Linked DNA regions of Oryzias latipes. The main gene of each other region encodes a partner of the protein of the gene in region 4 in a complex. Links are inferred from orthologs where the notes say so. Each region holds a gene or a part of one and is shown on either strand. Other genes may lie near its edges.

What was found.
Region 1: the proteins of fgfr1 (region 4) and plcg2 are in contact, whole or in part, in a cryo-EM structure (PDB 8JQI), measured with the Homo sapiens proteins. The link is inferred for Oryzias latipes from reciprocal best matches to the Homo sapiens genes FGFR1 and PLCG2. Residues at the interface, in NP_075598.2 of Homo sapiens: Lys504, Asn506, His541, Lys542, Lys598, Ser602, Tyr605, Gln606, Arg609, Glu612, Tyr613, Ser616, Lys617, Lys748, Asp755, Arg756, Val758, Ser762, Gln764, Glu765, Tyr766, Leu767, Asp768, Leu769; in NP_001412678.1 of Homo sapiens: Phe528, Arg540, Thr568, Phe569, Pro570, Asn571, Phe577, His585, Cys586, Arg587, Arg589, Ser590, Thr591, Met592, Gly595, Leu601, Thr602, Asn604, Leu622, Arg623, Cys624, Ala625, Glu626, Phe627, Glu738.
Region 2: the proteins of fgfr1 (region 4) and fgf23 are in contact, whole or in part, in a cryo-EM structure (PDB 7YSH), measured with the Homo sapiens proteins. The link is inferred for Oryzias latipes from reciprocal best matches to the Homo sapiens genes FGFR1 and FGF23. Residues at the interface, in NP_075598.2 of Homo sapiens: Glu159, Lys160, Glu162, Lys163, Lys164, Leu165, His166, Ala167, Val168, Pro169, Lys172, Gln244, Asp246, Val248, Glu249, Arg250, Ser251, Pro252, Val279, Tyr280, Ser281, Asp282, Pro283, Gln284, Pro285, His286, Ile287, Ala314, Gly315, Val316; in NP_065689.1 of Homo sapiens: Leu31, Leu32, Gly33, Ser34, Trp36, Gly37, Tyr43, Ala45, Thr46, Ala47, Arg48, Asn49, Ser50, His52, His66, Ile75, Arg76, Ser77, Glu78, Asp79, Ala80, Gly81, Val83, Val84, Tyr93, Phe108, His117, Gln118, Thr119, Asn122.
Region 3: the proteins of fgfr1 (region 4) and frs2 are in contact, whole or in part, in an NMR structure (PDB 1XR0), measured with the Homo sapiens proteins. The link is inferred for Oryzias latipes from reciprocal best matches to the Homo sapiens genes FGFR1 and FRS2. Residues at the interface, in NP_075598.2 of Homo sapiens: His409, Ser410, Gln411, Met412, Ala413, Val414, His415, Lys416, Leu417, Ala418, Lys419, Ser420, Ile421, Pro422, Leu423, Arg424, Arg425, Gln426, Val427, Thr428, Val429, Ser430; in NP_001036020.1 of Homo sapiens: Asn25, Val26, Asp27, Asp28, Leu33, Leu47, Thr49, Arg50, Asp53, Ser54, Val55, Trp57, Leu60, Cys61, Leu62, Arg63, Arg64, Tyr65, Gly66, Tyr67, Asp68, Ser69, Leu71, Ser73, Phe74, Gln81, Thr82, Ile86, Phe87, Ala88.

What each region holds. Positions count from the first base shown.
Region 1 is NC_019864.2:27,981,806-27,986,863, reverse strand, and holds part of plcg2 (1-phosphatidylinositol 4,5-bisphosphate phosphodiesterase gamma-2), read left to right. Parts: intron 1-841; coding exon 842-926; intron 927-1,068; coding exon 1,069-1,149; intron 1,150-2,504; coding exon 2,505-2,548; intron 2,549-2,632; coding exon 2,633-2,705; intron 2,706-3,784; coding exon 3,785-3,886; intron 3,887-4,099; coding exon 4,100-4,218; intron 4,219-5,058. UniProt on the Homo sapiens protein: The production of the second messenger molecules diacylglycerol (DAG) and inositol 1,4,5-trisphosphate (IP3) is mediated by activated phosphatidylinositol-specific phospholipase C enzymes. It is a crucial enzyme in transmembrane signaling.
Region 2 is NC_019881.2:17,688,244-17,691,899, forward strand, and holds the end of fgf23 (fibroblast growth factor 23), read left to right. Parts: intron 1-493; coding exon 494-955; 3' UTR 956-2,230; downstream 2,231-3,656. Other genes in the region: fructose-2,6-bisphosphatase TIGAR B, read right to left, coding at 2,482-2,808. UniProt on the Homo sapiens protein: Regulator of phosphate homeostasis. Inhibits renal tubular phosphate transport by reducing SLC34A1 levels. Up-regulates EGR1 expression in the presence of KL. Acts directly on the parathyroid to decrease PTH secretion. Regulator of vitamin-D metabolism.
Region 3 is NC_019864.2:4,354,683-4,359,475, forward strand, and holds the end of frs2 (fibroblast growth factor receptor substrate 2), read right to left. Parts: intron 4,764-4,793; coding exon 4,600-4,763; intron 2,737-4,599; coding exon 1,705-2,736; 3' UTR 1,427-1,704; downstream 1-1,426. UniProt on the Homo sapiens protein: Adapter protein that links activated FGR and NGF receptors to downstream signaling pathways.
Region 4 is NC_019867.2:20,588,613-20,594,448, forward strand, and holds the end of fgfr1 (fibroblast growth factor receptor 1 precursor), read right to left. Parts: intron 4,389-5,836; coding exon 4,198-4,388; intron 4,102-4,197; coding exon 3,979-4,101; intron 3,879-3,978; coding exon 3,808-3,878; intron 3,707-3,807; coding exon 3,569-3,706; intron 2,781-3,568; coding exon 2,675-2,780; intron 2,600-2,674; coding exon 2,423-2,599; 3' UTR 1,422-2,422; downstream 1-1,421. UniProt on the Homo sapiens protein: Tyrosine-protein kinase that acts as a cell-surface receptor for fibroblast growth factors and plays an essential role in the regulation of embryonic development, cell proliferation, differentiation and migration.

The DNA of each region.
Region 1 (5,058 bases), on a different chromosome or scaffold from region 4:
ACACCTCCCATGATGCATTGGGTTAGAGTGACAGCGTCTCAGCGTAAAATGAGTCTTCGTTGTTAAACGTCTTGAAACCAAAACGAACACACATCAAACAGTTTTTAAATTATTTAACTTAACTTTTATTACATCTTTTAGCAAAAAAAGCTTCAGCTTCCAGCTTTTTCTGCCACAATTATCACAAAAAATGCATGTGGGATTGCGGAGGAGCTGTAGATCAATACAGACAATGAGTTTCTCCTTTTTATTTTTATTTTTTTGGATGCTGGTGTGCCGTGGGATTTTTGTCAAGGTTAAAGTGTGCCGTGGTTTAAAAAAAAGTTGAAAAACACTGGCTTCCAGCCCTTCACACCTCCAAACTAATATTATTGGTGTAACAAAAATGGTGAGCAATGTTGGAGCTATCCAGCTGTACAGTTCTGAGCCAGATGCCAGTTTAGACAAGGAAAACAAAGACGTACATGGATCTATTTGTCTAGAAGTGGATGCAATGGAATGGAGCGGAGCAGGGATTTTGTGATCCGCCCAGTGTATTTTCTACATCACATTTAAGCTCTATTTCAATCATCTGCTCCTAATTCACTACAATTAGAATAAAGAAACACTCAGAAATGCAGTTTTAAGTTTTAATTTTCTTTATATATGTCCTTAATCATAAGAAAAATGCTATAAGGGCGTGTTAAAAAAACAATTTTTATTCTAGTGGGTCTTTAAAATGTCTTATTGTCATTGTTTGCACAATGAAAGTATCTTTCATCAAATCATCTGTTTTGTATTAGTGAAATGTAAAAAACAATTCTCCAGCTTGAGTCCTGATGATGCGCTTTGTGTCCACCAGCATCTCTGTAAAGGAACTGAAGTCTCTGCTTCCTGTGCTGAACTACAAGGCCCCCAGCTCTCGGACGTTCAAGGACAAACTGCTGGTACTTTTCCTACTTTCTCGGCTTTGAGACAGTTTTTAGAAACAGGCTGCTTTGCTTTGTGAATAACCACTTCAATAGAAGTCAAGCTGATGTGGTTCATTCTGCGTTTCTTGCTGCCCGCCCTTCTGTTCTGCTTTCACAGGAAGTGGGCATAAAGAAAGATCGTCTGGATTTTGAGCAGTTTCATAAGTTTTATAATCTGATCATGTTTGAACAGAATGAGGTGAGTGGTGACTACGTCCACAAAAGAAAGAAAGAAAAAACGTTCTAAAACTGAAGCCGTGGTGTCAAACATTAATGTAAAGAAGTCCAAAATAGTGGCAGCCTTATATTTTGTTTTACAATATGGAATAAACGTCTTGGCAGAGTGGAATATACAAAAATATATTTTGTGATGCTCTAACATAAAAAACAGTGTCAGTCAATTTAGATAGAGGTTGCAAAGTTGAGTTCATTAAACAAATAACTAAATAAATCAGTCTGCTTACATGTATTTTATTGTGAAGAGGCAGATATAACCCCAGAGGTTTACAGTTTTTTCAACCAAAAGGTCAGACCAACTTTCAAGCATGATGGTGGAGGGCTCATGGTTTGGGCTGTTTTGAAACCTCAGGACCGTACCCTCTTGCAGTAACCTTGATTTAAAAAAAGGCAATAGCATGCGAATAAACTGAAATGAAGATGTAACCCTGTGAAGGCCCTTAAAAAAATTGACACATAAAAAAAAAAAAATCAATTTTTTGGGATTAAGATGATTTTTAAGAGGAAATCCGCAAAACAATTAGCAATATAGTTTTATATGAGATATAGATATAATTGAACTTTATTTGTACAGCACTTTTCCTGCTATACAGATCTCAAAGTGCTTCCCATGGTTAAATAGATACTAGTAATATAAGTAACAATAGTAATATGTAGGTAGTAATGTTAGTTTAGATGTAAAAATATAGTTTAAGGTAAAAAGCACCTTATTTCCCAGCGTCTCAGAACTGATCCATCCATACAAAAGGTGTATCTGGATTAAAATGAATGAATAATTAAACATTTGAAAATTATCAAAACGTTTCCCGTCAAAACTGTTTTTGAGATTTCATGGAAGCAGACATTTTGAAATGAGGAAAAGGCCCTCTACTGCCCCTAGTGGAATGATAATCCACCATTATTCCACATGTACCAAGTTACAGGTTTTTAAGTAAAGTGTGTATCATGCTAATGAAGTAGGGCTCTCAGAAAATGCCTCTTTAAAATATAATACCAATGGTTTTATTGGTTTAAATACAAGCAACCCAAGATATAGTCAGACTGTCATAAAGGAGGCGATTGCTTCAGGTTATTGCTGCCAAAAGTGTCGAGTCATGGAGTATAATTTATTTTTTAGGAAAGGCTTTGGCCCAGTTTTCATTTAATAAATAACCTAATGGTTAAAAAGTAATGTTCTGTTGACAGTTGAACTTCTTATTTTAGACGTAGATTGTATTTTTTTTTTGTTAGTTTTCAGACGTGTCTTTAAGTTAGGCGTGCTTCCTTCCCCCTCACATTGTTTATTGATGTCTGTTTGTTTGTTTGTTTTAAAATCAGATTCTTGATGAGTTCAAAAGAGAAGCCTGTTCTTTTATTCTGGGGTGAGATGCAGTTTCTCTTTAGCGAGATTCCCCTGTTAGAAGCGGCCTGTTTAGATCCGTTTGTTTGTCTCTCCTGTCGTCCAGTAACACGGATAAACCGGACGCCTCTGCGGTGCTCCTGCACGATTTCCAGCGCTTCCTCATTTATGATCAAAAGGTAAAATTCAACTGGAATGCTATGAAAAGGTATAAAACGCAAAACAAGATATTACAAATTCTATTACATATGCTTTCAATAAAAAGATTTAAGAAACAAGCCAAACTGTTTTAAAGGCTGAAATGCAACATAAAACGAATCATTTGTTTATGGTCCTTGATAAAAGTGCACACACTTTAAACTATATTTAAGTTCTACACTTTCACAACTGACATATAGATTTCTTCAGAAAACTAAAATGAAGCGTTGTTAAATCACACTTGATATTTTTATTCTTTTTTTTTTTTCATTTACCTATTGTTTTTTTTTGGGACTTTTAGATGTTTTCTAGTTTAAAAAGTTTAAGATTTAAAATAAAGTGCTAAAAATATTTACAGTCAGATAATATTGCACCCAAAAAGTTTCTTAAAAGTTAAGAAATGTATCCAAGCTCTGCCCTCTTTATTTTGTCTGTTGTTTAAAAATGATGGACCAAAACATGAAGTCTGCTCCACAGGACTTATGAGTAATGAATAATGTTTTAAAGATTGTGTTTTTGGTGTTTTGTCATGTTGTTGTGGCATTTTTCTCACGATGGAGGACATATACAAAAGAAGATTTAAATTTAAATCGCAGTTCTGAGTATTTCTTTATTCAAATTGTTGTGAATCAGGAGCACATGAAATAACATTTCCCAGAACTCCTGCCGCTCTGCAGAAACTATGTCCTAGAAAATGAAATTTGGCACAAAAACAAAACACCGTAATTATGAATAAAAGACCACAGGGGGCGCTTTAAAAATAGATCATAAGATGATTGGAGTGCGTCATTAAATGATTTATGTTACCAAATAGTCACATTTATGCCGTGTTAACACAATTCTTGGGTAATTTCAAGTGTTTTGGGGATTATTTGTTAAATTTTTTGTGCTGTTTTGAAGGATAATCTTGTGTTTCTGCTACGGTTTATCTCAAAGCAACAAAACGACAAAAACATTTCAGCCTTTAAATGTCTAAAGTCATTATCAGGGACAAGCTTCTTTACAGGCCTGTTTTCATTAAAAAAATGAACTAAAATAAGCTTTTTCTTTCCTTTTTTAGGAAAGCTGGGCCAACAATCTGAACCAAGTCAGAGAGCTGATGACCACATTTATCGACGACACCATGAGAAGAACCAACGATCCAGAGTTCACCGTCAGTGAGGTACACTCAGAACGTTCCTGTGCAGGTTTTGCCTGCCGTTGAATAAACCTTCGTCTACTTTGGCTTCTGTGGGCTTCAGAAGCCTCTGAACCTGCTGGGACTGAGGTTGTTTTAACAGTAGATTGATTACCAAAGAGAAGAAGTCAAACGGGGACCTCCGAGCCTGAAGTGACTCACCTGATGCACAAGCTGAGGCCTTTTTTCCGCTTTCAGTTCCTCGGGTTCCTGTTTTCCAAGGAGAATGCCGTGTGGGATGAGAAGTACTCCGAGATCAACAACCTGAACATGAACAATCCTTTATCACATTACTGGATCAACTCCTCACACAACACGTGAGTTCTGCTCCACGAAATAACCACACATGCCTGAGCTGCGCTCTCCATTATTTTCAGTATTTAAAAAGTGGTTTTCCTGCCTTTCTGATCATTCTCTGCTTGTCTCATATTCTTGCTTTACACTTTGTTTTTGTTCAAATCCCAATTTTATTGAAATTGTTTGTCACAATGACCTCTAATTTGTCTTTTTTTGTTCAGTTCTGTGTATCTGTCTGGCTCCCTAAAGGATAATATCTTATTTTAATGTTTCAAAGTCATACTTTAGTATTAGGTGCGTCGATCAGCATTATTTATTTCCCTGCAATAATTTTCATTTGTTTTACTTCTTTTTTTTAAATGTATTCTTAATTTCTATAGATTTTTAAATCTTATAGACAGAAAAAAAATCCTAAAATGTCCTAAATGTATACATAATATATTTAATCTATTAGAATTGTGAAAGAAATGTAAAAAATACTTGCTTTAAATGTATAAATGTTATTTTAAGAGTGATCTATTTTTCAATCTTAAGACAGACTTTCTTTTTTCTTAATTGGTTTTACTTTTCATTCTGTTTTATATATTTTATGAAGCTTTCCTGGAAAACATACTAAATTATTTGTCACTCTTAGTGGGTTTTAACATTTTATTTACTTGGAGGCATCAATAATAGTTTAGATTTTTACTAAGTTTTAATACTTTTATCCTCAGATTTGCAGTTTAGAAATGTCTTTTTTTTAGATTAATTAAACACAGCAGGTAAAAAAACTGTAAAAAACAAACTTGTTTAAATACTTCAAGAACAAAAACATTACAGTAAAAGGCACATTTACTATAGAAATAAGTTTTACACTAGTT
Region 2 (3,656 bases), on a different chromosome or scaffold from region 4:
AAAAGATTGATCCAAAATAGGTATTATTGATCATCCGAGCAGCTTCTTCAGAACATGTCTGAACTGTTAAACCGTGCGTGAAAACGCACTATTTTTACGCACAAACGCAGCATCGGGTCCTTTAAAAAATCCGGTTTAATTGTCTGACTACCTGCTTTCTGCCTTAAAGTAGTTAATATAACGATTTGGTCGGATCTCTGCCACATTTGCAGAGTTTATGAACTTAAAAATCACAAAAAGTCTGTTTGTTTAAAATACCCGACGCAAAAAAAAACATGAAAAATGTTTTGAATGCACCAAATAAGACGAATACAAACAATTTAAATAACTTTACATTTTTGTTTAAAGTTTTTTTTTTTTAACCAAAAACAGTTTTTCCATGCGTAAAATTCTTTTCATGAATGGAAAATGTACTATAGATAAACATGAATTTATTTTTTAATTCGAATGCACTGAATCCAATGAAATTCCTCTCCGTTCCCCCCTTTTTTAGCCTATTTGCCTCAGAGAGGAGTGCCTCTTCAATCACAAACTCCTGGAAAACAACCGAGACGTGTACTACTCCACTCGGACCAGCATCTTGTTCAACCTGGAGGGGTCCAAACAGGTGTACATCGCAGGTCAGAACGTGCCGCAGACCTCCCTGTTCCTACCCAAGAAGAACACGGTGCCGCTGGAGCGCCTCATCCCGCACAGGGAGAAGAGGAAACGGATCGTGGATCCCTCGGACCCGCACGGAGTCTACCACAGACCGGCGGAGGAGGGCTCCGACTCTCGGGCTGTGGCGGAGCAGGACGACGCCGACGTGGAGGTGGAGACAGAGATGGAGATGGAGGTCGGTGATGACGGACGCAACTTATCCCGGGAGAGACCGCTGGTTCCGTTCAATGACGACCCCTGGAACGTGAATTCGTTCAGACAGTCCAGCCCCCGAGGCACCGGAACAATGGGCTAAGCCGGTGAAACATTCAAATATAAAGCAAGCTTTATTTTGAAAAACTGGCATGAGAGTAACACTTCTGTTGCTTTGCTTTCACACTGACTTTGCATAGTTTAGTTAGTGCTAAATCTTTCTGCAGTGTGTTTTTACACTGAATGAACATTTTTAGACTTGACTTGATACCTTTTGCACAATTCTTGAAAACTCTTATTTCCAAAAACTTAATTCCTTTTTACAGAGCCCTGGACAGGACTTTACAAAAAAAAAAGACAAAGAAAAAATTTGCATTTCTTCTGGCCCCCATTAGTATTTTGTAAGCATATGTTAGTTTTTTTTTGGCCACAAATTAGTATTTAGGGGTTTCAAATGAGAAATAAAGATACTAAAATACTATTTTGTGTGCCCAAATTACTTATTTGTGCACAGAAATTAGCATTTTGTGCAAGGAAATTAGTATCTGTGGGTGCAAATTAGTGGTAGGAATGGAAGATACTTAAAATGCTTATTTGTGCCCATAAATGTACACACAAAATGCCAATATGAGTCCTCAAAATGCTAATAAAATGATACTTTTGTCATGTCCAGGGCTCCTTACCTTCCCATCTTCTTCTAGTTTCCACAACTTCCTAAGAATTTCTGCTCTTTAAATGTCAAGATGGTTAAGATACATTTATTTTCCCCCCACAAATTTAGCTGATATCCTCTGCAACTCAACCCATATTTTTATGAATTTGTGTTATATCCTGTTTATTTACATTGTTCAAATGTTTTATACAATCTTAGGAACCCATATTCATGTCGTCTAATGACAAACCAAATTTAGTCTACCTCTGGAGGACTGAAGGGTTTGACCGCTGAACTGAAACCAGCAGGCATGAACAAATATGAGACTATTAAAAAATGCAATAGGATTAGCCTTCATTTTAGCCTTCTTTAAGTATTTCAGCAGTTTGCTTTATTAATTATGAAGAAAGTCGTCTTATAACAACATCTGAATTTTCCCACCAGTAGGATGGAACTCATAACTTGAAAGAAAAGGACAAACAGGGTCAAAAAATAAATGTTAATTTTGTAGGTGACTGAGTTGTTCTCATCAACAGCAAACACACAGCAGTCCCTAAAAGTATTTATTTATTGAAATATTTTCCTTTCACTGTTTATTTATAGTATTTATGGTAATGTTGGAGTTGTACATACAGAAAAAAAAGATTTGCTTTGAATGTATGAGCTGGAATTTAATTTAGAAAGAGTTTTGCTTGAATTTGGGACCAAATAAAGTTTAAAAAAGTCATTTGTTTTGGATTTTCTTGTGTTTTTTATGCTTCAAACAATCTTTATCTTCATCGTTCATAATAACTGAAGATACTACATGTAGGAGCTAAAATGTTTTGGCTGTTTTTGTCGCTCTTGTCCACCTTTTTCTCATTGTAAATCAAGCTTATTACATCATACAAAGAAAACTTTTTTCTCCCACTGCTATTTTTTATAGAAATGCAAAACAAAAAGCATAGACTGCAATATCTTTTGGTGATAGAAGCGCATCAGATGCAAAAATAAACCCATTGGCTTTTAAGGAGGCTTAGAGGTCCATCCATTTTCCTAACCTGCTGTATTCCTTTTAGGGATTTAGGTGTTTTTAATGTTCTTGTGGCATTTTTCTTATGATGGAGTTCACATATAAGGCAAATTAGACTGAAAAATCCATTTCTGGGTACCTCTTTACTCAAATTGTAGGGAATCAGGAGCAGATTAAAAGATATAAATAAAAAATGGAGCTTTTTGTGAGCGGGCCACAATCTTCCTGTGCCGCTCCATTCCGATGCATCCACTTTAGAAGGCGACGAGATACATGTACGTCTTTGTCCCCCCTGCAAATCAGAAGGGAATTTCTAATGAACTACTGCCGCTCTGCAGAAACTATGTCCTAGAAAACAACACCGTATTCTAGATTTTGGCTAAAAACAGGATCATCACAGTTGAAAAAACCCAGCTTTTTGAGCTCTCTTTTGAGCAGACGCAGAAGAAGCAGTAGCGGCAAGTGAGCAGAATGAGGGTGCTGTTGGTTTGTCTGCTTGTTGGAACTGTTACCTGCGTTCCTCAAGGAGGTGGAGCTTATCAGCCCAGAGGGTATCCTCCATTCTCTGGACAACTTCAGTCTGAGCCAGTCTATGAAAGGCCTTCCGGACAGTCGGGTATAGTGGCACTCCGGGATGTTTTACCAGTGGAACCTACACTACAGGAGGCAGTGGAAGTCCTCCCATGTGCTACTCTGCTTCATATCCTGAACAAGATTTAAAAAGGCATTCAAGATTTTGAATGCCTTTTAAAAAGATCAAAAGATGATTGGAGCGGGACGTTAAACAGGAAAGTCGCTTCTACACCACAGTTAAGTGACAAACATACACAGATGACTGTTTTTATTTCCATTTTTAATCAATGAAAGCTGGATGCCCTCTTGGATTTGTTTAAATATTTGATTCTTGTACAACATATAGCAAGAACCTTTAAGAGCATAATTGTGAATCTCGTAGTGAAGACAGGCAGAAGCAATGAAAGAAAAAAACTGTCTTTGCTCTAAGCAACGGTCAGTTTACAAAAAACATGAAACAGATTTCTCTGTTTGATAAAGTAAACAAACGTTTGTGAATCTGCAACAGGTCCACACAGATCTGATGCTCTAATGTGCAATCTGCATCTTTACTCTTCAATAAATGCA
Region 3 (4,793 bases), on a different chromosome or scaffold from region 4:
TCTCCTTTGATACCTCTGGCACTTTTCCAGCACATGAGATATTTTTGACACGTAACTAGAAATCAGTTAATCATTTCTCCAAAATAGCAGCTGATCAGATAGGAACCACGTTTGGAACCATGTTTGGAACGTGTGATGAAGGTTTGAGCTGCGATGTGTGATGGTTACATTTCGCACACGATGACGTCAGGATTCTCTTCAGTTTCAGCCTCACATGTTGCTGTTTTTGAACAAAACTCATTTAAAATGGCAAAACAAACATGCAGCTATTATGGGATGTTCATTGTGCATTTGTTAGCAGGACAGTGACTTTCTGAAGGGTTAGTGAGGAACAACCAGTTCTTCTTAGAGAGAAAAAAAATACTGCAAAACCTCTCTGACACGACTCAACGCTAGTTAGAAACTGTTGCTGCTTTCAAGGACGTTGTTGCAATCATAGTGCACATCAATATGTATTAAATGTTTTTATACCATGGTCTGAGTGAATACTCAGTCCTGATTGGCTGCACGGTGTCCATTCAAAATTGATAATGAACAGCTAAAAAAGAAATTCCAGTCACATAGGCTGAATGTTCCATATCATTACGCCGGCCCAAACACCACTTGGAAACCGGAACAACAAAATCTTGGAACATAGGTGGACAGACGTCTACAGTTTGTCACAACAGCAGTAAAGTAGAAAACGGGATTTATAGTTTCCTGTTAGGTGAATTTGATGACTATGAAGACTGGGATGCAGCAGAAGACAATTTAAGGAGAGAATATTAAGACATTGTCTTTTAGAAATAAACATTAGCTTCATCAACTGGAAAAAAAATCTGGGAGAAAAAGGGAGAAGTTTTGTCTGAACTGATGCTTTGTTAAACCCTTGTGCTGTCTTAGGTGACCCCCATCTAAGATAGCACAAGGGTTAAATAGACCAGCTGCCTTTTTAGTTTTTTCAGCACTTCGTAAAGATAAAATTTGGTGAATTTAAACGCAGAAGCTTCTCCTCATATTGCTGCATAGCTACACACAGTCTGAATGGCGCCCTCATGTTGAGCTGCCCTCCAGCAGCTCGCAGGTCACATGACTGGAACTACTGGGCCTGCTGAGCTCTGCTATAGTAAAAAGACTGGGGTTTGGGTCAGACAATAAGAACTGAAGGCAATTCCCAAAACCCGACAGAGTCAAACCAAGAAGTTGTTGTGGTTCCACCTGGAGAAAAAGCTGCAAGTGCCGGAGGACTTTGGCTCCACCAGCTTTCTGTTCACACGGTTATCAAACTGTTAGCTAGATGCACGTAGACCTGCTCACTAACAGCTCTAGGACAGGTAACGTCGCACTGAGCAGTCGGTATTACCTGTCCTAGACCTGCTTTCCTACTGCTGAACCATCTGTACTTCATGTCACGGCCATTACAGGGGAGGGAGGACAGGAGGCGCCGTCGCTGGTACAAAGAACCCAGACTTTATTGCGTCAGATCTACTGAAGCAGAGCGTCGTCTCGCCGCAGCGGAGTGACTCGTACAAAAAGGCTAATGGAATGCTGCTCAGTAATACTGATGTGTACCATATAAGGAATGCAGTCTGTGACATCATAGTTCTCGCAGGTGTCACGCCAGAGAGTTCATCTGCCGTGCATGTGTGCACGGGCAAGTGTGCACCGAGTCCCGTCTACTGACCATCCACCCATCCTCCCGCCGTTCACGGTGGCAGCAGCAAGTCACGCCGTGCTCTTGGTGGGCAGTTCTGTGCTGTTGTGCCTGGTCTTGCGCGACGTTCCATCGTCGCGTGGCCGCGCCTTCTGCAGGCTAGACATGGCGGCAGTGCGCTCAATGTCAATCAGAGTGTACTGCTCAGTGCGGCGAGTGGGCGTGGTGGGGGGCAGCGGGGAGGTAGGGGTGCGGGGCGTATGGGGGTTGCTCCCATCTGAGGCGCCTCTGTTCCCGCAACTTTCCATCTCCACCTCGATGTAGTTTAGGGTCTTGGGGGGCTCCAAGTGGCCTGGCAGCGGCGGCCGGCGGAAGTCAAAGTTGAAGATGGTGGGTCCATCAGAGCGGCGGCGGGCCGTTTCTGGGCGGTGCGCGCTGAGTGGAGCCGTCACGTTCTCTGTGTTGACGTAGTTGTGCGAAGGCTCAAAAGTGGCGGACAGCGGGTGGGAGTAGGAGTGATGCAGCAGGCTGTGGGGGTGGTGGTGGTGGTTGTAGCCGTTGAGCGACGGCGTCTTGAGCCCGGCGTGCTCCTCCTCTTCCTCTGCGCTTGGTTTCCTTGTCTCCCAGACGGGAGGCAGCGCCGGCAGGTTTTCGTAGTCCAGCAGGACAGTGCGCCGTTGGGCGGAGTTGTTGACATTCTGCAGGTCAGGGGTGAGTGGGGGGGGCCGATGGCGGCGGGACGCCACCGCTACGTTGGAGGTGGAGCCGTTGGAGTGTGGTGGAGCGGGCTCCGCATCCGCCGATCCTTCAGTCTCTCGGGGCTCCTCGGCCTCCTTCGACTCTTGTCGCCTCCTCTCCTGCTCCATCAGCTGCCTCTGAACGGGGGTGGGGCCAAGCACAAAGCGCACCCCCTGAGGCTCCAGGAGTACCTGGGGCTCGGGCGGGGGGAGCGCCTCCGACGTCTCCGTGCGAGTCCTGGGCGGAGGGGGGGGTGTGGGAGGACACTGGGACTGTGGAGAGGTGGGGCTCTCCAGGGGGGTGGTGAGGGTGAGAGGACTGGGCTGTTCATCCAAGAGCCCCGTGGTGTTGACGTACGTATGCACCTGCAGACACACAACCAGCTTCTAGTCATCATCAAATACCCACAGACAGTCATGGGGGTGGGGGGAAACTCCCCGAACGCATCAGCAATTGAAAAGACCCTCCCACAGGTCTGCCTCCTATCAGACGAGGACTTGGACCTTCACACTCTGCGGTGCCGCTCTGGCTTTCTCCCTTTAGCGTCGTCTACATTTCACCGCTCTCATATAGATTTTCCTTTGCTAGACTTGTAAAAAACACGGATGCTTTTATTTTGTAGGTCTTTAAGAGGGACATCAGCGTACATCTCCACTGCTCTCATGAAAACCTGTTTGATCTTTGAGCTCTTGTGTTTCCTGAAATCACAGGATTGTAGTGTTTTCTGATCAGTGAGCTGGACCTGCTGGCTGTTACACAGGATCATGGGAAACTGAGTTTTAACACAAAGAGGTTCACCCTCACCGACTGGAAACATCATGTATGAGAACCTTTGTCAGTCATACAACGTGGAACATAAGTATTTGATCCTTTGCATGAATTTAGCACACCTAAACAAAAAAAAATGACAGTCTGTTGTCCTAATGGTCGGTTCATAGAAAATCAGAAAGAAAATCAAGACATTGACTAAAGAATTTATATAGATTTAAATCCATTTCATTGAAGGAAATAAGTATTTGAACCCTCTTCCTGGAAGGATTTAGTATTTTGTGGTCAAACCCTTTTCTTTACAAGTGATCTCTAAATCATTCAGATTTGGTGGCTGTTGCCTAGCAACTCTGAGCTTCAGCTCTCTTTCTATAAGAGGTCCACAGACTGGCTGGGCTATCCATGAATGTGATATGGTTCTTCTCTAACTGTTCCTTGGGTTTTTGGGTTGTATGTTTTGGCTCATTACATCAATGGCCCATTTTAATCCTCCTGGTGGAGGGAAGGAGGTTCTCACTCAGGATTTGATGGTTCACGGCTCCATCCATCCTCCTATCCACACAGTGCAGTAGCCCCGTGCAGAAAAACACCCCCAAAGCATGTTTCCACCTCCATGCTTGACAAAGGAGACAGTGTTCTTGAGGTTATTGGAAGATTTCCTCCAAACATGACGGGTGCGTGTTGGTCTCATCTGACATCACCTTCTCCCAATCGCTCTCTAAATCCTGAAGGTGTTCATTGTTGAACTTCAGGCAGTCTGGACATTCTTCTTAAGCACAACTACTTAGCGAGCTCTGCAAGAACCATTGCAGTGTAAAGTATTACCAATGGTTTTCTTGGTGACTGTGCTTTCATCAACTGACTCCTGCTGCGTTGTTTTAGTCCGATTACTCTCTGTAGTCATGATCATGGACATCACAGCAGGTCATGCGGCAGCAACAGTTGTCATCTTAACCCCCAGCTTCTTGCTGATGGTTTTGTAGACCATTCAGTCTGGTGCAGGTCTACAACCTTCTCCCTCTAAACCCACTAAAAGCTCCTCATGTTGGAGAGTTTGGAGTCTGACTGATTCTGTGGACGGGTGAATAGTTCAAACAGGGGTCTTCCGTTTAGGTAACAAGTTGAATAGGAGAGTCTAACTGGTCTGTGTGAACCAGAACTCTTTATGGTTACTGGGGGATCAAATACTTATTTGCCTCAATGAAATGCAAATAAATGTAAATGCACTCTTTAAATTAGATTTCTTGATTTTCTTTGTTAATCGCTGACTGTACAAATGAACCGACCTCTAGGATGACAGACTGTCAGTTTCTCTTTAAGCGGGCAAACCTGCAAAATCAACAAGGGATCAAGTACTTATTTTCTCCACTGTAATCTTTATCATCACCACAACCACCATTGTCATTATTCATTATCCTCCTTTCCATAATGTAACCCCAACATGATCAGACAGAGCTTACCCCTTCATCGGCAACCAGCAGTGGGTGGGTGGACTCCTCCCCCACAGATGGCAGGCGGGTGCTGGCCACAGACGGGTGTCGGGTGGAGGGGTGGGATGAGGCCTCCCCCACAGAGGGCAGCCTACCTACCCCGTTGGGCACGGTGGGTACAGAGTAACCCAGAGCTGGAGACACAAAACAGTGATAGGATCGTA
Region 4 (5,836 bases):
GCCAGACGCAAGCATATTCACAACAGACTTGTGCAATAAGGCTTCCTCAGACACCAGAGTGTCTGCAATCCCTTGCCCATCATCCAAAAGTTTCAGGTTAATGTTTACAGGAACTTCACCAGCATTAGAAAATGTTGTAATGTTTTCAGCAAAAGTGACATCTGAGCCATGTGATGCTCTGGTGCTTTAAATGTAAACATTTGAAAACAAGGAAGTTCCCCATCTTACAATCTCTTCAATACTGTTTAGTTTTCGTTTTCGAAGTTTGGCTTAGCAAAGGTCATCTAATCCCAACCACAGCATTGTCCGCTTTACTTGACAACATACAAATCATAAGCAAAAACTTGTAAACGAATATCTTATTTTATGGTTCCTTTTCTTTTGGAATAAAAAGAACGTTTGATTGTTATAAAAAAAAATCAAACATTGAGTACCAGGTTTATTGAAGTGTAATGTTTCTGAAGCTGCAGCTAAACTGATAAAATAACAAAAATTCTAGTGATAGCAGGAATTTGTTAGTTGCACACTGGATTACTTTATGGAATTTAAAAACACATAGATGGCACACTCCTCGTCTTTCAGAAATGGATTCTGTGAACATTTGTGGTCTTAACGCCACAGAGCATTTTTCTCTTTGCACAGGCTAACGGTTTATACTCTCAAAAGCGCAGACAATAAACTTTGTTCCGTCAAACTCTTCATGTGCCATCTGTCAGAAATGATAAAAGTCAAACTAATAGCACCTGTGCACCATTAGCAGGTTTTAAAGTGTGGCTTCGCATGCCCTTTCTATTCTTGAACAATCAAAACACACAGACGATGCTTTATTGCACCTCGTTTCCAAGGGTGAATGATATTTTCTCCCAAAATTACCAATTCCTGCTCCATCTAAAGATCTCCAATCTGACTGGGACTGATAAAGAAATCCACGTTACATATTTTGATTTACAGTTTAAAATGATGTTGATATAAATCTGTCGTCCATTAGAAACTAAAGTTTTTATTGCAACACAGGTGACTGCTTTGAAAGCAGCAGGACGATAAGAGAAGGTTCTCATTTAAAGGGTCAGGAGTGACTTAAGCTGATTTTCGCCTGTTGCGTGGAAACGGCAATCCAGGTGATATATCCACAAGTGGCAGTAAGCCAGAATGGGGACTGGCATCAAGGTTGGTGGAGCTGATGGACGAGTGTCGTAGCAGCAATTGCCAAGCTGTTCATACGGTCATAAATTACATGTTTACAGCCGGTAGAGGCTTGGCGCACTCGCCAACTTCTCTTCTGAGGTGAGCAGCATATTATCATATCCAATCAGATTCCTGCAACTGTATTAAGAGGTTTAAGTGGCCATTTCTATAAACCTACCTCCAATACAGGCATGGAAATGTTTGTATTTATAGAGTTCAAATTCAGAAAGCTTAAGTTGCTTGATCATCAGTATTTTATTGAATGTAATCCTTTTTACAATGACATACGTGCGCTGCAACTCTTCATCTGAAGTCACACGGCAGCAAACGTTTACTCCCCTCAAAACATTTACAGTGGAAGTTTAGTCCTATGAAGGTCACACAGATGGCGGTATTAACTGAAGCATATTACAGCTCGTATTACCTGCAGTATTTACAGTAGAGACCATCAGGGAAGATACCACCAGTTCTCTGGAAGCCTGCACTCACGGGCATACAAACAGCGCCACACTTTCAAAAATTGGTCCTGCATGAAATGCTATGCCGTAATTTCAGGTTTGTTAAAGTTGGAAAAAATATGTATACATATATATAAAATCCATTATACATTATTAATGATAATATGATTCATTTTGGAGAGTCACAGCTGCAATACGGACAAAAAATACTGGCCATATCAACCACAGCAACTTCAGAATACCCTCGTGTAACAACCACCCCTAAAAATTATATTAGAAAAAGGGTGAAACCATGGCATCCTTGTACAAAACACAAAAAAATCATTATGTTAATACAAAATAAGAGTATTGGAAATATATAGTAATATTTATATATATATTTTAAACTGTATTTACACTAAGAAAGATGTGCATAAACATGGTGCTGCACATCTGCTGGGAGTGTGTTGGGATTGGACCAAATCTCATCAGGTGGTGAAAACAATCATATGCATACACACAAACATTACAAAAACGGACGTGATTTGGTCAGCTCTCATGACCAAACACTGGAATGATCGAGGTATAGAGAAAAGTGAATCTACTCCTGCTAATACAAAGTGCCCCGTAAACATAGTCCACATCTGCAGTCTGCGACTTGAGTTCCACACAGTATCGCAAAGTTCCTCTCTCACAGAGCACCAGTGTTCTTTCGCTTCATCTCTAGGAGCGTGGGGAGAAATTCAACCCCATGAGGCAGGGAGTAGGGGGAACGTCAATGTTTGAAGGAAGATGAGGTATCAGCGTTTTTTGATTGCTGCCCCATTGGAGTGAGGAGGGAACTTTGGCAGGCAGGGCTCCTCTGCTCCAGCATCGTGAGAGAACACAGAGTCTTCACCAGAGGAGCACGTGGAGCTCCGGGTGTCAGGATAGCTGGGAGAATATTGGTCCAAAGGAACAGAGAGCTCTAAATACTCCTGCAAGTACACAGGGGGGGGGGTCAGAAACATTTGATTTCAGACAGCACTTACAGACTCTAGAGGGGGACTGACCTGGTTGGATGTCATAGCTAGACAACGATCCAGGTCCTCCACCAGCTGTTTGAAGGTGGGCCTTTGAGAGGGAACTGCATGCCAGCAGTCCCTCATCATCATGTACCTGCAGAAAAAGATTTTTTTCATGAAAGGTAAAAACTCGACTTTTAAAAACAAAATCATTTGGTTATTTCCAAAACTCAAAAATTAAGAGCAGCACATTTTAAGACAGTAATGTTAAATATTGTTAACCAAGTCTAAGATTTGTGACTAGGTTTTTAACATTACTTACATTTTTTAACACACTAATGATCCTGAAAACTGAACCAACAGGCAAAATCTGCTAAAAAGCAGTGATGAAAATGACAATTTATGATTTGGCAAAAACAGAGATCGGTAAAGGATTTCTGTAATTTGCTGGGTCAGCAGACAGAGGGTTACAGACTCAAACAGACTGAATAAACTAATCTGCAAGGCCGGGGACGTGGCGGGAGTGAAGTTGGACTCCTGAACGGCAGTGATGGAGCAAAAAATGCTTTAAAAACTGCAAAGCATTGTGGATAACTCCACCCATCCCCTCCACCAGCTCCTGGACCAATACAGGAGCACAAGGACAGCTAGACTAAAAGGTTTCTCAACAAGGATCAAACGCCACAGAATGACTTTCCTTCTTGTGATAATAAAATTGTATAACTTTCATGAAAGCCTGCTAACTTCATAAAACCACCTGACAGCATTATACATTTCATTTTACACACTGCTAATGTGTATTACACTGCATTTGTCTTTTCTTAGTTTGTGCATGTTGAAATTTGGTGATCGGAGCTCTGCTAAAAATGCTTCTTCCCTCTGGGATAAATAAAGTATTCTGTTTTATAAACTCTGAGTTCAGAAAATACAAAGGCTCCTTACAGTTCATGAGTGCACGTTGAAGGCTTGTCCATGCGGTGACCTTCCTTCAGCAGCTTGAACAGCTCCTCTACTGGCACACCCGGGTATGGAGAGCCTCCGAGGGTGAAGATCTCCCAAAGCAGCACTCCAAATGACCATCTGAACAAATAATGAAGAGGAGTAGCACCATGAGCGGCCGAAGAGATCGATTTTTCCTTGTTATATAACAGTTTTAAAGGGTAGTGGAACATGATACTCACACATCACTTTGATGCGTGTATATTCGATCAAATAGTGCCTCAGGCGCCATCCACTTGACTGGTAAACGACCCTAAAAACAAAAAGAAACGTGTTGTTAAATACATTTCCATGTTCCTTTTGTAAGTCCCTTTTTAGTTTAATTCATGTTATTGATCAGATCAATTACTCACATTGGTAGTTTTCTTGTAATAATCAATGTGGTGGATGTCCCTGGCGAGGCCAAAGTCAGCTATTTTCATCACATTGTCTTCAGTTACCAAAACATTGCGAGCAGCAAGATCTCTGTGAATGCACTGGAGGAAAAAAAGGTCTGAACGAACGTCCCATTTTAAATGGACTTGATTTGAGTGCTTTGCACAGCTGCAAAATAGTGGTCGTGGTGTTTTTACCTTTTTAGAGGCCAAGTACTCCATGCCTCGAGCCACTTGGTAAGCACAAGACACCAGGTCTTTGATGGACATGGTCTCCACTGAAACCTGGTCTGGGTTGTAGCAGTACTCCATACCAGGGGGGCGGCGAGCACGCAGGTATTCCCTCAAATTTCCCTTGGATGCATATTCCACTATCACGTATAGAGGACCTGGAAAAACATGAAAGAAATGAAAACCTTAAACAATGACCCAGATCTGAACCACTTTTTTTTTTTTTTTACTTGTCCTGTTTAGCAGCAGAGCAAGCAAATAAAACCATACGGCCTCCTGCGTTGGACAGATTTTACTGTTATAATAAGGGTTTTTGTATCTTCTGACACACAAAGTGTGTATTTGTATAAACCCCTTTTGTAATTTGAGGCTAAGCTTTACTTATAATAATTATTTTGATATGCATTCCTTGTTGAGCTGGATGGAAAAAAAAAAAGGGAAGAGTGGGTTGTTAAAGATGGGGCATAGGGGTTTAAGATGGGGGAGATGGGGAGTGTCAATAATACAGACATAACAAAGAGTGTCATAAGTAAACTGTCCGACTTAGTTCTTACATAACCACCCTTACGCGCACTAGAACTCCACCACAAAAAAGGAGCAGGAGGACAGTACTCAGCAGCCCCGTGGCAGAGAAGTAGGAGGAAAAGAGAGCGCACAGAGCCCCTGCCAGGGTAGAGATCCTGCCCCACCTCAAGGTGCTACAGACCTAGACCCAATCCTCCGACCACACAAGACCTATGCCGATGCCCAGATGAGAGACATGCCATCGCCCAGACGTCCTGAGGGGGCCCCTGCACCCAGAGGCAGGCCATGACCACCAATACCCAGCCTGCACTGCACACCCAAGCAGCTTGCCTGCCAGCCCCACCGTGGACAAACTGGGGGAAGTGGCAAAAACTGCCCGCCCAACGAGGAAGGTGGACACCGTTGGCCAGCAAAGGCTCCAGATAGGGCCAGGATCAGGCTCCAGTTGCTGTGAGCAGTGATGGAAAAATTGCGTTGCCCCGGTGTGCCCAGAAAAGGAGCTTTACCCATCTTCTCTGGGATATGGTCCACCCAACTCAGATATTGTGGACTCACTCGCCTCGCGGAAAAAGTGCTGCAAGGTTAGGGGCGCAGGAACCCCACGGACGCCCTGGCAGCAGCCGCCAGCCAGCCTAACCATTTTGGAGGGCGGTAGACAAGGAACAACGTGACCATCTCCCTCTGACAGTGTGCATGTGTACGAAAGGGTTGCAATTAATATCGGTGGACCAGCACTGTACAGACTCGGTTCTTCAACAGAGGTATCTGAACTTCATGTAACAGGGTGAACCGTGTTCTTATTTCACAAGCCGTTGCCCGAGAAGAGCTATACTGAGCAGTGGAAGATGAGCAGTTGGAGGAAAAGCCACCAGACAACCAAATGCTAGGAGCGACTGGTCGGAGGAGTGCTCCAGGACAAGCAAGCGCTGGACTGACATTAGAGGAACACTCATCGTTGGGTAAAGCGCCGCCGGGACAGATCAGAGAGGGGCGCCTTGGAAGTCAGGATAGACGAGCCCTGGCCGGCACCAGAGGAGCAGCTGAGTCAGGAGCCAGACAGCGGTCAGAGGGGACAGCGACA